2 linked regions of the Drosophila melanogaster genome follow. The protein of the gene in region 1 purifies or fractionates together with the protein of each later gene. This does not show direct contact. Each region holds a gene or a part of one and is shown on either strand. Other genes may lie near its edges.

What was found.
Region 2: the proteins of mei-217 (region 1) and rec purify together in Drosophila melanogaster (affinity purification with western blotting; one study listed by BioGRID). This does not show direct contact.

What each region holds. Positions count from the first base shown.
Region 1 is NC_004354.4:17,136,653-17,145,955, reverse strand, and holds the start of mei-217 (meiotic 217), read left to right. Parts: upstream 1-2,965; 5' UTR 2,966-3,092; coding exon 3,093-3,154; exon of another isoform or gene 3,155-3,248; coding exon 3,249-3,689; exon of another isoform or gene 3,690-4,194; coding exon 4,195-4,262; intron 4,263-4,361; exon of another isoform or gene 4,362-4,474; coding exon 4,475-4,630; intron 4,631-4,752; coding exon 4,753-4,865; coding exon of another isoform or gene 4,866-4,977; intron 4,978-5,040; coding exon of another isoform or gene 5,041-6,580; intron 6,581-6,644; coding exon of another isoform or gene 6,645-7,978; intron 7,979-8,034; coding exon of another isoform or gene 8,035-8,267; intron 8,268-8,559; coding exon of another isoform or gene 8,560-8,879; 3' UTR 8,880-9,303. Other genes in the region: RpS5a (ribosomal protein S5a), read left to right, coding at 824-940, 1,240-1,338, 2,185-2,253; mei-218 (meiotic 218), read left to right, coding at 4,844-4,977, 5,041-6,580, 6,645-7,978, 8,035-8,267, 8,560-8,879.
Region 2 is NT_033777.3:15,829,088-15,835,235, forward strand, and holds the start of rec (recombination-defective), read right to left. Parts: upstream 3,546-6,148; 5' UTR 3,531-3,545; coding exon 1,267-3,530; intron 1,235-1,266; exon of another isoform or gene 1,183-1,234; coding exon of another isoform or gene 1,078-1,182; intron 1,007-1,077; coding exon of another isoform or gene 864-1,006; intron 802-863; coding exon of another isoform or gene 461-801; intron 397-460; coding exon of another isoform or gene 203-396; intron 139-202; coding exon of another isoform or gene 1-138. Other genes in the region: CG4576 (uncharacterized protein), read left to right, coding at 1-138, 203-396, 461-801, 864-1,006, 1,078-1,182; CG43318 (uncharacterized protein), read right to left, coding at 3,681-4,196, 4,304-4,306; CG43317 (uncharacterized protein), read right to left, coding at 4,437-4,847, 4,949-5,278; Arpc3A (Actin-related protein 2/3 complex, subunit 3A), read left to right, coding at 5,679-5,684, 5,826-5,999, 6,110-6,148. UniProt on the Drosophila melanogaster protein: Required for meiotic DNA recombination in females. Probably not involved in DNA repair and recombination in somatic cells.

The sequences.
Region 1 (9,303 bases):
CTTAAGGGCATGGCCTCAAAAATGCAATCTTAATAAAGCATAAATCAACAAAATCCTATTCTCAGAAACCGCGTGTCAGTCCACCTCAATGCCAGATGGCTTAAAAATACGATGCCATACTGAGCATAACCAAAAATGGACTAATATCAATTGAAATTGTTTTAACTATCCTTGTGCTTGAAGATATAAGCCACTTCCTGCTCTCCTGGAAATTAAAACAACACTAAAGTTAAGCATTATTCACCAAGGGTATCATTATCCGTCCAAAACTAAAACTGCAGCGTTGATCCTTACAGGGTTGTGGTATTCAACTGGACCATAATAAACCCCATGATTAGCTATTCCTCTTAAGGGCATGGCCTCAAAAATGCAACCTTAATAAAGCATAAATCAACAAAAACCTATTCTCAGAAACCGCGTGTCAGTCCACCTCAATGCCAGATGGCTTAAAAATACGATGCCATACTGAGCATAACCAAAAATGGACTAATATCAATTGAAATTGTTTTAACTATCCTTGTGCCTGAAGATATAAGCCACTTCCTGCTCTCCTGGAAATTAAAACAACACTAAAGTTAAGCATTATTCACCAAGGGTATCATTATCCGTCCAAAACTAAAACTGCAGCGTTGATCCCTACAGCGTTGTGGTATTCAATTGGACCACAATAAACCCCATGATTAGCTATTCCTCTTAAGGGCATGGCCTCAAAAATGCAACCTTAATAAAGCAATAAATCAACAGCAAAAATTCTACTTTGGTGCTTCGAGTGGATCAAGTGATAGCTTACTCATTTCGATTTTTTTTTGTGACCTCTTTGCAGATCCTGGTCAGCGCCATCATCAACTCGGGACCCCGTGAGGACTCCACCCGTATTGGACGTGCCGGTACCGTCCGTCGCCAGGCCGTCGATGTGTCGCCCCTGCGTCGCGTCAACCAGGTGGGTTTCTTCTGAAGATTTGCCTTCCAGATGCATGTGCTCACGGTGGCCGGTAGCAATGGCTTGTGGTTCGTTTAGAGACTGCTTGCTTATAACACTTGGCCAGAACGAAAATCTATCTAATATCCGTAGCGTCATAATGTGTAGTATAGCCGACATTTGGCGTATGAAACGAAGAGACATTATCAATTGCATAACACACTTTCATTTTACTAACGATAAGAACCCCAAATTCTTACGCTGCTGTGATTGCGTTCATAAAGTTACTTAATTAATTTTTTTCCGTATATTTCCTTTAGGCTATCTGGCTGCTGTGCACTGGAGCTCGTGAGGCTGCCTTCAGGAACATCAAGACCATCGCCGAGTGCCTGGCTGATGAGCTGATCAACGCTGCTAAGGTGGGTAAATTGGGCTTGTGGCGAGATCAAAGTGGGAATGGGGTGGTCTACTCTAATGCTTGGCATTGTACTACCAAAATGCCTGGCCTCGCTTGTAGACCAGATCGAGAACCACGTTCGGCACTCGGATTAACCCAAGAATTGAGCTTCGAAATAGCTCTTTTCTTCCTTCTAGTGACACAGCTAGTCATTTCAACTAGTCCAATCTAATTCTGCATCATGGTTTATTTATGTAGTCTCGCTTTTGGACCAGATCAAACTCCAAATCTCTTATTATCCTTGTGCTAGTGACCACTTAACTGTCCTATGCACACGAGAAACGTAAAAGAACACTTTTATGAATTAGCATTTAGGAACTGATTCGATTAGGATAGCGGGGGTCCAATCTAATTCTGCATAGTGGTTTAATTATGTAGTCTCGCTTTTGGACCAGAACAATCACCATCCTTTATTATCCTTGTGCTTGTGACAATATCAGTCTAATGCACACGAGAAACGTAAAAGAACATTAGCAAACTATTTAAGAGTTGGTATATAGAGCTTAATAATAGGTCCAATCTAATTCTGCATGGTGGTTTAATTATGTAGTCTCGCTTTTGGACCAGATTAATTTCCATCCTTTATTATCCTTGTGCTTGTAATATTGCTTAGTTCAATGCACATGAGAAACGTAAAGGAACACTAGCTTTAAATAAGTTAGGGACTTGTTTTTTTATATTTATTTATTTAGAAGCGATGAATCCATACAATGCAGTAACAGTAACATAACAGCGCAATTAACATATAAAAGATCTAGAAAAACATTGATAGCCAATACTAATAACTTGTGTTTAAATGTATTTCCAGGGATCTTCCAACTCGTACGCCATCAAGAAGAAGGATGAGTTGGAGCGTGTCGCCAAGTCCAACCGTTAAGGAGACATCATCACCAGCAAAAACAAACTTCTGTCTGTTTTTTTTTATACAAATAACGTGTGTACACTGAGAAATGATACACTAAAACTAAAATAAACAACAAGATGAAAAATTCACTTCAGACCATTCTTTTTTTATAGTTTTTAGTTTATAATAAACTTGGTTGTCAGAGAAGAACGGATATTTTAGCTATTTTCTATCGGGCTGCTGGTGTCAGAAATATGTGAGGTTAAGCGTGAGTAAAACGTGAAATTGTCTTGCTTGGAATAGCTAAAAATATTGAAATGAAATTTAGCTAAAAAATTAAAGTAAATTACATGGTTTAAACAAATTGAAACTTTAAAAAGTTTTTTTTATCGATATTGATACAATTTCTTTCATAGATATTTCTCTAACTACTCACGATAGATCACTAAAATACGGTTTTTTTAGTGTATAAAATCTATAGATAGTTGCGATACTCCATCGATCTGGCATCACTTTTCTAAAATAAATGTATTGGAAAGCTGGCAACAGTTTACAATACTCCGATTGTTTTAAGCCCTTAAATTCTACATTTATATATTCTATTCTTCGCTTTTGAAGAACTCTATGCCAAAGCAACAAAAGATCCATTTATTGTAGGAGGCTAGTCATTAGTCATTTAACGACATTTAAAATCTAAGTCACACATTACCCGATCGAAAAACTTCAGTATCGATTTAAATCAGGGCTCGATAGGTACACTTCATATCGCAATCGGTTTTAATTCCAATTTTTCCTTAGTCAAACACTTCATTTTAAAATTCTTTGGTAGTAGGTCGGATTGAAATAAGTTCACATTTCTGGATTAGTGTATAATGTTCACAGTGGATGCAAGCGAAGGATCATCAGTTGTAAACGAGACTCCATTAAAAAGCCAGTAAGTGCACGGTAATCCTGGTTAAAAAACAGGGCGCATTTATTTTCGCAGGCTCCTAAAGACATAAAACACGAAATGCTAATATACAATACAGATTCCACGATCAGAAGTTGGTTGAGCACTTTTGCCGGCAGACGCAGCTGCTCAAGCTGGTCCAGGTCTCCTCTGGCCGCTTTGTGGCGAACTATATGAGCTCCCGGCGGCCAGAGGACCTGCTGGCCCCCATCCAGCTGCGCCTGGACTTCGAATACCGGCAACTACTCGATATCTCACCGCAACTACTGCAGCTCATCGTCGAGGAACCGCTGCAGTTTCAAGAAGCGGTCCGCTACTCGGTTTATGGCTTGATCCGCTCACATCTCAAGGACGCTGGCCTGAAGCCCATCGATATCAACCAGCTGCACGCCCACTGGCGCCTGGTGGGACTGCCCTTTACGCCGGGCCTGCAGTTCGAGCCGCGGGACCAGTTGACCCGGCTGGGCTTGTCCCAGATCCGGGGCATCCTAGCCGCTTTCACGCCGCAAGAAACACTGGTGTCAGTTTTACAGTTTGTACATGTCCTGGCAGAGAATTGCAATGTTCCCCTAGTTTGCTTTGGTGTGCTTTTTCCACATTTTTCTTATTCGATTTGGTTATGTTTGGGTACTATGTATCCTGTCATGCCTGATTAATTATAGTTATAGTTCTTAACTAACCAAGCTAGCCAAGCTGGTTTACCCTTTTTGGTTTAGTTCAAGAGGGTTTTAAGCTTAGTCTCTTAAGTGTAAATACCAACCTACAAAAGAAGTATATCTATATCCCATTAACTTTCTATGAATGTTCATTGTTGTTAAAGTTAAAAAAGCATGGATCGTATTATCGTTATTTTTTATTTAAGTGGGTTAATGGTATTTATTATTTGTCTATTGCATGTATTATTTTCTTATGCTTTAGGCAATATCTGTTTCTAAACATATTAATTATAAAACACACAGCTGCTCTGCTAGGGTGTACCAATCTTTGATAATATGTGTAATTTATATCCTGATATTCCATTGTAGCCTACAATCGATCTGGTACTGCGGCAGTGGCTGTATGCGAAATGCCATACAGACCAGCTCAACAGATGGTAGGTCCCATAGGCTAGGAACATAAAGAAACAACGTGCACTTTATCCAAATTGTGGCACAGCCAACAACCTCTAACTAACAACCTCTAACCTCTAGCCATACTCACAACCCTCGGAACCCTGTCTAACAAAATGTTATCTAACCCAGCATTCCTTGTTCACGAGATCCTGTGCCAGCTCCATTGCTAATCCATCTTCTTGATATCTTTCAGCACCCTTTTGTTCGAGCTGCTCGCGGCCCATGAGTGAATACCAAAAGCTGCGCGTCACGGAAACCTATCGTATCTTGGCTGTCTTGCCTATTTCGGCAGTTCAGACACCTCGTGTCACCAATTGCCTTCATCGCCCAAAATTAGTTCGCCTTAGAGGTAAGTGAATCTGGTATTCAGGACATCATAAACACGTGAAATTAAATATGCCTGGTAAACTAGGACATACTCATTTGGATGTCACTATCATGAATAATCATAATATTAACAACATTTCTTAGCCCACGCCCACGACTGCGAATTAAAGTTGGGTGCTAGCTACCTAATCACTGGATACTTTGCGAGCTCAGCCAGCACATATCAACTGGAAGCATGTCATCTACGAATAAACTAGAGAAAAAGGACCCTCGTAGGCACATTCCCCTCCAGCTTAATGTTTTCTTGCGCAACGATGACGATGGTGAAGTTCGTGAAGTTACTCAAAATGCCAACACAAGCTCCATAGGGTAGAATATTCTATTTACACCATTATAATAAGCAAATATATTAATGTATCCCCCAATGCCCAGCACCATACCATCGAATGGCCTGGTCGAAAGCGATGTGACGCCTATTATGACTCCCACACCGAAGGCCGGTGTCTACAAACCAAATGTTAACGTCTGGCGCTTATCTAAAGAAGTCACTAAGCCTGATCGTAGCTTTGTTGTGAGTGCCGAAGAGTATCCTGATTTGGGCCAGCGCCCGAAGAGATTCAAACAACGAACGCCGCGGGTGCGTAATCAAGATGACGGCGGCACTGTTTCGTGCCTTGCCAGTCGTTTTAGTCGCGTAAAAGATCCGCCTGTGCTGGGTAACTTTTTGCCGGATTTCATGCTTCCGAAATCGAGCAACAGCAATCATCAATCGGTGACCACTTGGCTGTCGTCAGTACGTCCTAGCGACAGCCAAAAGTCTTTAAGCGACCAGGCACGTTGCTCTTCTTCGACCAATATAACACTGCTGAGTAAAGATTCAGTACAGCCGCTGACGCCAAAAAGTTCTGCCCAGTCCTCTCCGGGTGAGAAGAATATCCAACAGGAGCAGAATACTCCAGCTAAATCCCAACAGGAGGAGACAAGTCCGGCTAATTCTGTCGAGCATCAGCAGAAAACACCTAACTCTCCAAAGGAGCAGCAGAAGAGTTCTGTCGGTTTTACTAACATGCAGCAGATGGCTTCCGCCAATTCTTTACAGCAGCAAAACAGTTCTGCCAGTTCCTTACAGCAGCAGAATAGTTCGGTCCATTCCTTACAGAAGCGGAAGAGTTGGGTCAATTCTTCACAGCAGCAGAGGAGTTCGGTCAATTTCATACAGAAGCAAAGGAGTTGGGTCAATTCCTCGCATCATCAGAAGAGTTCTGCCAGTTCTTTACAGCAGAAGAGTTCTGAAAATTCTCCCAGCAAATTCCAACAGCAGCAACAGAAGAGTCCTGCCAATAATGAAAGGAGCCAAAACAATCAGAAGTCTCCTGGCATTCAGCACTCTTGGAAACAACAACAGCAGCAGAAGCCAAAGATTCTTCAGAATTGTCCGAAAACTTCTGTTCAGCAGCAGATGAACCCTGTTAATCATACTCAGTCGCAATCAGAGAGACCTACCGAGCTCATTTACTTGCACTCAAGGAGCCCTGCGAAGAGAGCTTCAGTTACAAACAATTCTTCGGCACCAATCCGCATTGCGCCCAGACAGCAGACCACTCAATCTTCGGGTCCCAGTGTTGTCCACAATGAGGACGAGGATGTTATGCCGCCGACGCCTAATCAAAGTGAGAGAAGGCAGAGGAGATTCCCACGTCGCAATCACAACCCCCGGATGGTGCGCAGTCTGCAGGCGGTAAGTCGAGAGTTTACAGAGTCCTTGCTTGAGGGATCTTCAGGGAAAACGCCGGAAAAAGAGGTGGTGCCGTACCAGCAACAGGAGAAACCGCGCCAGGTGAAAAGCTCACCAGAAATCCATGCGAGCAGCCACATGCGAAAATTGGCTATGGGCAGCGTTTTGAACTCAAATGCTAAGGAGTTCCACCCTACCGGAGAATCCCATCTAACCCACAAAGTGTCTAGATTGAGCGTAAGTTACTGCACCGTAAGTTTAATCCTCATTAGATAACCCTTTCTATATTGGACAATTACAGCAAAGACGCTGTCGACAGCGTTTTACGCGCTCTTTGCACGCGAAAAAAAATAACCCACGCGAGCAACTACCAAATCCTGACAGCGCCCCAGAACCAATACTCGAATACACCTCTGAGATAGATGATCAGCCATGTCCACCACGACAGACAGTCGACACACCGATCGAAGCCATTGTACCACCGGCAATGATCGAGGTGAGTGCCACCGGCAATCTGCCGCCCGTGTTCTATTTTGATCAGCAGTCGGGAATTATATGGAGCAACTCGTCACCACAAATTCCGGTTGAAATCCAAAGCAACAGTGTCAGCCAGTCGGTTTTTCGGCTAGCCAGTCTCCCGTGTACAGGGGTTGGCACCACCAATATGGATATATTTACCAGTTCGCCACCCCCCATCCAGCATATGAGCTCCAGCCGCCTCCCATCCAGCATTTCCGGGCCCACCCAGTTATCGCATACTCTCAGTTCGCCGCCGGTGGAGAACCAGCACCAGCAACACTTGTGGGAATCATGCATCCACCAGGACGAGGACCTAATGTACAGCAGGCCTCTGTTGGATATGGATCAGGAGGAAACCCAGCCGGAGCAACAGGACCAGGAATGGCAGTGGGAGTCGGAGATAGAGCCCCCGAGTTTCCAGTCGGAGAACCAGGTCGTCGCCGACGAACACGGCGAGGAAAACGCGTACCTCGCTAAGGACGCAGGACCACCACTCGAGCGTCATATGATATTTCGAGCCCCATCACAGCACGGCCAAGAATATCCCAAGCCGGATCTAAACTGCGTGCCGTCCAGCATCAAGAAACTACATCACTTGATCTCATCGCAGTATTCTGACTACTCCTTTGTCTACGCCCTAAGTGCTCAGATCAGTCAGGACTGTGTGCCTATGGATTGCTTTGTGTACCTGAAGATGATACTGCTGGCCAGTATCGTTTCAATCGAATCTGATGAGGTGCGGGCTCCAATTTCGCTATGCATAATCGCCACCGACAGCCTGATGGCCAACCGTCTACTTAACAAAGTGGGCCAACTGGCACCACGTTTCCTGGGACCCCACGAATACGGACTGCAGCCCACTTTCAATGCCCTGCCCACGCGCTTTAATTGGATAGTGGCCAGTCCTTTACTATTGGCACAACAGGGAGTTTACTACGCCGGCGATTGGAATCGTCTGTCCAAGGATCAGGGATGCCAGCTGGAAAAGTGCATCGAAAATGGAGCGGTCCCAGTTCCGCAGTTGCACATCGATCAGCCCTTAAAGGCAGCCGTTTGGACTTACTGGCAGCCGAACAACTCCACCAATCAAACACTGGCCCTCGCCAAACTGTGCCCGTAAGGTGGACAAAACTAGAAATTACGCTTGTATATTAAGTTAACCTAATTTGCAGAATCTTCGGGCTGCCAATTTATATGGGTGCTCAGGCCAGCAATAGTCTCTGGAACTCTATAATTCAGAAGCACAACGCTGAGGGTCAAATTGTAGTCAACGATGGCTTGAGCATTCCCGAGGACGATATGCGCATGCTTATACATCTGTTGCATCAGCGCAAGACCACCTTAACCGATGGCGCTCAGCATATGCTGCAAAAGTATTATGTGATCTCCAGGAAAGAGCGACCGAGTAAGTCTAATTCCATTAAGCAGCAAATCGTCTTCCTAGCTTCAAAGCGAAGGGTCGTGTCAGTACGGCTTTATGAAACACAGATCAACAAACACAACAACAATCACAATTCAAACAGATCTCATCCAAACTGACTTTAGTAATGTTTCGCATTTAGCATGTTTCGAGAACAATTAACAGAGTCAAATTGTTAATTATTTTCGAAACTTGAAATACTATTTACAACTTTTGTTACTATTTTGTGCTCCTCTAATCGATGGCAACTAACGTTTTCCATCCCGCTCATTTCCAGATGTCTTCTCTAGCAAGACCTATATAGTGCTGAAGCAATTAGCTGAGTGCTTTGCCAAGCTGGCGCTGCGGCTGGAGGTCCTTGAATCGGACGTTTGTGTGGCCATCTTTCACTGCGAGCATTTCGTGCAGGGCATTTTCGGGGCCAAAGAAAACCAGGCACCGCCGGCGGTCTTCAATTTCAATGTGATCTCCTGCATCGATCCGTACATGAACAAGTTTACACGCTGGTTACTTCAGTATCTGAATAGCTACGAGGACGAGGAGCTGGGGATGCACGCGGATAAGAGGCGGCGCACAGATAGCTGGGACATGCCCTAAACGCCTGGCATAGATCCCTATAGACCAACTTGGCATTGATTTGGCATTACTCGTAGATTTATAACCATCGCACACTGGACCAATTTTGAATACCTTTTGTAGTTTTATACAGATAAATTTACAGCACATGTGTTTGTAAACAAAATCGGCACTATAGCCACTAGATACTACACCCTAGCCATTCTCTACTACACAAACAACACCTGAAGCGTTCAAAAACGAAGACTATATTTGTAAGCATTCACACATAGCCGACACATACATACATCCCCCATCTCCTCCACATTCAGTATCTTTTGATTCATTCGATATATGTTTTGTGTATATCGCAAGCTAATCGCGGATAGTTTTAAAAATTTAATTCGCGAAAATCAGGAAAATTTTGGAATAATCTTGTACCGTTGTTAATCGCTAATCAACGATG
Region 2 (6,148 bases), on another chromosome or scaffold:
CTCATGAGTGGCGTTTACTTTGAGAACGCTGGAGGTCCACTGTGGCGGCACATCTTTGAGCGGGAGCAGTTGGCTTGTCGACGCAACTGGTGGACCAATCTGCTCTACGTCAACAACTTTGTACGCACGGATGAGCGGGTAAGTAATGAGTGCTTTATCTAATTTATCATCTAATCCACTCAAAATTCCATTCGGGATGCAGTGCCTGCTCCAAGGTTGGTATTTGGCAGCGGATACTCATTCCTTTGTGCTCAGCTTGGTGCTGCTGATGCTGGGTCACCGGTTCGTCAGATGGAGCAAACAGCTCTATGCGGGCATTTTGGGTCTTTTTGTGGTGGTGCCAATGGTGCTCACATATGCCATGAACTACTATCCCATTTTTGTACCCACGCCACAGTAAGTGATCGGACTTAAAAACTTTACTACTTGATTACAATCATTCTACCCATCTACCAAACAGAACCCAGAAGGATTCCTTTATCGGAGATCGTCAATTCACCGAATTCTACACGTCGTCCTTTATGAACTTCGGTAGCTATTTCTGTGGAGTCCTGGCCGCTTTGGTTTACGATCAGTTGGCATTGAAGCAATACAAACTACGGGAGTTAAAGAGCTTCCAGCTTCTTTGGTTTACACTTATTCCAGTGGGGATTCTATGGCTGTTTAGTGCTCATCCCATCTTCCAGCACTACTACGTGACGCCGTCGGCCATTTGGGGAGCATTATATGCCGGCCTGCAGCGAAACATCTGGGGCTTCGGGCTGGGAATCTTCATCGTGGGCATGGCCAGCAAAGTGGGATGTAAGTATCAACTGCGAGATATGCTTGGTATATCCTTGGCAAATCTTACTGTTCTTTCACAGGGATTTTCCGTAAGTTCTGCTGCTTGCCCATTTTCCGCATTTTGGGACGCCTCACTTATGGAGCCTTTATCGTCCACCTTCTTGTGGCGAGAATCGTCTTGGCCACAGTGCGGGAGCCCATTTATTTTGGCACGGGCATGATGGTGAGCTCACTTCTGGCATTCAATAGGAATTGGATTTTATGTAACTCAAATTGTTCTCATCTTATCTACAGTTTGCTTTCATCTTTTTTACGGTGACCGTGTCCTATCTCTGCTCCTTCTTGCTGGCCATCTTTCTGGAGCTTCCCGTCTCCTCCTTCCTCAAGCTTATGAGGTAGCCCAATGTCCTAACTTAAAGATTACTTATAACTAGAATAAAAGACATAACTTAATTAAATCCGTCACCAAAAAATTTCACTTACCCTGCGCCAATCTGGCTGGAAACGTCTTCATCGAGATTGCAGCTTCCTTTGAGCTCAAGGAAGTAACGCAGAACAGCATTGCTGGCGTCCTCGTTTAGGACCGGATTTAATTCCTGGCGAGCATAGGACAAGAACTTCTTAATCAGTATGGGTGGGAGCAGGTCCAAGTCCCCCTCCTCCGGAAGTACCTCCAGACGTTTGTCAAGATCATAATCCTGCTGCATAATGCTGTCATTATCGTCCTCCGTTTTGATTGTGTCATCATCTTTTCCCGCTGCCGGCACATTAAGGCTGACCTCGCACATGGAGTCGCTCATTTTGGGCTTAAGAGCATAGCGGGCTGCAATTCTCGCTCGTTTCCTAGCGCCCGCATGGAGAGCCCTTACGTGGGCAGTCAGCGACATATCTCTCTCCGAGGGCTTGTCCAATAATATGTAAACCAAATGGAACTCCCGCAGCAAAGAGGGTGAAATATTAATATTCTGTAGAAGGTAGCGCCCCTCATCGTATTGTCCTCTTTGTGGATTTGCGCACGCTATCACCGAAGGTTGCGCCGGGAATGAGGCAAATGCTCCTGCAAGTGGAAGATTTACTTCCTCTGATTGTAGGCACTGCAACAGTACGGCCTGCTTGGAGGCAAGTTTATCCACATCATCGAGGGTGCAGTGACCGCCTCCACTGGCCATCATCAAGGAACCCGCTTGTAGCACACGCTTGTTACGCCCAGCAAACGTAACACCCAGTTGCTGTGCGGATTGAGCCCCACGTTTTCCACTCACGTGGGCACCACGTTCAGCGATCTGAGCACAACTTTGCAGAATCTTGGTCTTTCCAATTCCGGGATCACCCACCAGGAGCACGTTGATGGCTTCAGTCTCCGCACCTTTCCCGCCGAGAAGGGATAGTAAACAGGCGGCTTTGGGTAGCTCATGTCCGTATACCTCCGGGGCAATGGATTGCACCAGTAGCTTAAAGCTGTTGGGTTCCGCATTGATCATGACAATCGCTTCCAAGTCACGTTCGCTGAACTCCCGCTTGATGCTGCTCGCATCGCGAATGCTGACTGCCTTGAGATAGGGCTGCATCTGGTTGGAGGTGTCTCCAGTGGTGGTATCGTCGCCCAATTCCTGCAGCTTAAGGATGCCAGTTACCACGACCTCCTGTCCGACACGCACAGCATCAACTAGATCATGTCGCAGCTCCACGTCCATTTCAGCAGGCATGCTGGTCTCAAAGTCGTGGACCAAGTTCAAACTGGACTCCTCCACGCGGATAATCTGTCGGATTGAAAGCCTGGTGTATGGGGAACTGCGAAGAGGCACGAATTCGTCACGAGCCACACACTCCGACCGCTTGCATTGATAAGGACGTGGCTGGAAGGTTCCCCGTTGGCGCATGGCAATCTCCATCTGGCAGCGACTGCAGCGAAAGGCTTGCCACGTGAGGCTGTAGCTAGGCTCGCCCACATTGCTCACAAAACCCCGGATGGAAAACAAAGTGTCCACTCGGGAATGGCTTATTCCTTCTATTGATTCCACAGGCACAAAATCATCCGGTCGTGCGTAGATCTTGCGTACCCGTGGGGTTGGAAGGACGTACTGTTCCGGAGTGGACACCATAGCTGTGGTGGAATCATTACAGTCCAGCTGGTGATTGACGACCACAGTGTGCATAGCCAACGACAGGGTTCCTAGCGTGCGAAGCGGGTGCTCACGGATGTCTTCGGACAAACTAGGCCAAACCTCCTTTAGCTGGGCATCTGATTTGATGCCTGCTGCGCAGAGGGGGAAGAATCCCCGATCCCGTATCATCACAAAATCGAAGGTGTGAGGATTACGTTGGTAGTATGCCTCCACGGCCATTATCCTTGTGGCCAGTTCGTTGCCCTCCTCGTATTTCTCGCGCAAGAAGTACAGTCGCCAGCCGGAATAAGCCCGTGGATTATCCACCGCAATGCTCTGCACCTGGAGCCCGTCTTCTGGTGCGGCATAGTTTTCCGGCCGCAGAAAGCTGCAGTCCAAGTGAGCATTGCGTCCTCGCTTGCCGGCTGTGCGGCTCCAGCCCCTGGGTTGCCGAGTTGCAGGCGGAACAGAAGGAGCGTCTGGTGCTCCAGGTTCCCCTTGGTTGGGTTGTCGATTGCCTCCGGCTGGGATCACACGTCCATTGCGCCGAAAGTAGAAGTACGGACGGTAGGCTCCGCCTCCGCGACCACGACCACGCACAAATCGCGATGGGGCGCCCCCCCGGGAAAGCGTTGGATTCATTTCAGCTGGGGAAAGTTTACAAATTTGCCCGCTTTTAAATAGAGATGATACCTATATTACAAATGACATGAAATATCGATAACGATCTTTGGCTAAGATATTGAACCCTTAACGATTTTATATTTAAACTTATAAATCGATGTAATAAAATTATTTTGGAATTATTTCGGCGGACACTTGTGATATCTTCGATTCTTGCTTCAGTATGCTCAGCTGGGCGGGAAGGTAGTGTTCAAATACACCCGATAGCTTCGACTTGACCTCACGAAATGTTTCCAACACTTTTATCTCCTCGTTCTCATCAGTGGGCTGCACGGCCTTTAGTTCATGTAGTAATTCGGTGCAGCCGTCGAGGAGCATCACCTGCTTCAGGTGAAGCTTAAGCAGCTCCTGCTGAATTGTCTTGATGCACTGGATTTGTTGGTCCATGCGCAGTGGAATCGTGGAAAGAGCCAACATTTGCTCCATATGCTTTTTATCCTTCACGAACATTTTAGCAGCACTTTCCATGGCTTCAGCAGGTTTTGCTTCAATCTCCTTGGGATCTTTGTGCTTTTTATCCTCCACGATCGTTTTATGAATAATTTCCATGTTTTCAGCAGGTTTTGCTTCAATCTCCTTGGGATCTTTAATGCACGGAGCTTCCGTCTCGGTTTTAGCTGGAATCTGTAAGGGAAATTAGGGCTTACTAACTAACTAGCCTTAGAAATTGACAGCTATCGCCTTTTTTTTTGGTTATCTACAGCTTTGTATTTATTTATTTTTTTTTTTACCATTTTGTTCTCTGCTGAAAAGTTTTAGAGACCGTATGCAACCAATGATAAAACTGAATAGCAGATCGAATACTAAGTCAAAGCCTCCTTTTAATAAGAAACTCATAGTTTTTTACAGAACATTCAGAGCGATCTAGGGTTCTGGTTTCTGGTCACCTTTTTTCGGGAAAAGTGAACTCAGATTGACGGGACAGTTGTCCAGGCGGGCCAGTTGCTTAACCATGTCATCCAGGAGCAGGCTGTTCCGCTCGTCGGAACCCTGGATGAGCCCGTAGGCCTCTGCGTTGGCGATTCGGTGCTGCAGAAGCGGCATGTAGGGTCCATTGAAATGCGGCTGTCCATTGGCCAATTCCGGCGGAGGCTTAGCAGTGGGAATAAAGTCCGTTTCCGACTTTGGGGACCGGCAAGTCGGCTGGTTTGGCCGAAACTTTGGAGTCCTATAGCCCAACTTTCGCTTCTTTTCCGCCTGCAAGTGATTTTCGCTCACGTCGTCGGACTCGTAATGATGGTTATAAAACCGGATGCCGTATATTGCGGGCTTTGGCTAAATTAGGTAGATTTATCTTTAGATAAATTAATATTTTGTGTTATAGATAGTGTTGATGGTTAGAAACTGAGACATATCTCCAAATCTCCAATACTCACAGCTCTCTTGCGCTCCTCATCGTAGCCATCGTCATCCGAATCATCATCCTGTTCATCATTGTCCATTTCAATGGGAATCCGGTCACTGGTCACCGGCACCTGGGGCACGAATTCTGAGGCACTTGCTCGGAGTCCATTAGGGGAGACCGCGGTCGGCGGAGAAGCAGAAGCCGAAGTCGGAGGAGTAACGGCTGGAGTCACCTCATTGCTCATGGACTCTAGTTCCAGACATAAACGTTTGTAGGCCATCGTGGTTCTTTCCAAGTGGTTGAGATCCAATTTGCCAGCGATATGGGCAACGTTCTGGAGGAATTTTTTACTTTCATCCATAAAGAGCGAAGTCACAATCAAATTCCTTTGTGGATGGCGCAAACATTAAAAATTTTAAACATTTAACACAAACTTGATTTGTTTAGCATTCGATGTTTCGATTCGATTTCTGACAGAAAATCTGGAACTGTCAAACATATTTAAATTGGTTGATGTACAACAATTTATAAAAAAATATTAATAACGAACTAAAAAACTTGTAGTATTTAATGGAATTGTCCACAATTTTAAAAATTTAGCTCAGTGTGACCATTTCGGTCGCGACTTATCGGTCTTGTCGATAAATTAGAGCTGCAAAATTTGTAAACAGTGGACGCCTATAATTAAAAACAATATTTAACATCGAAAAAATAACGTTTTCAACGTTAATTTAAATAATTAATTTAAAATACAATTCAACATGCCGGTTAGTGGATACTTGCGCATCAAAGGCAAACGAGTTGGCGTTGAGATATTCCCAGTTCTTTTCACCTGCTTTCGTGACCCCCTGCCAAGCATAAAAATTTCCAAGGGAAAAGGCAATCTTGTAAATTAACTATGCTTTCAGGCCTACCACTCGCAGATCAAGGAAGTGCGCCAGCAGGTGGGCAACATGGCCATCCTGCCGCTGAGGACGCAGGTGCGCGGGCCAGCGCCCAGTGCGAATATTGAGAGCGACATCATTGATGAGTCACTGTACTACTTCAAAGCCAATGTCTTCTTTCGCACGTACGAAATCAAGGTGAGGCCGTAATCCGGGATTCAGAACCATTACCTGGTCACGTGATGGTCATATTGAATCCTTATGCTACTTGCTACTTGAATTCACAAACTATGTTTTACCATTTTCAGTCCGACGTGGATCGCGTGCTCATCTATGTGACGCTCTAC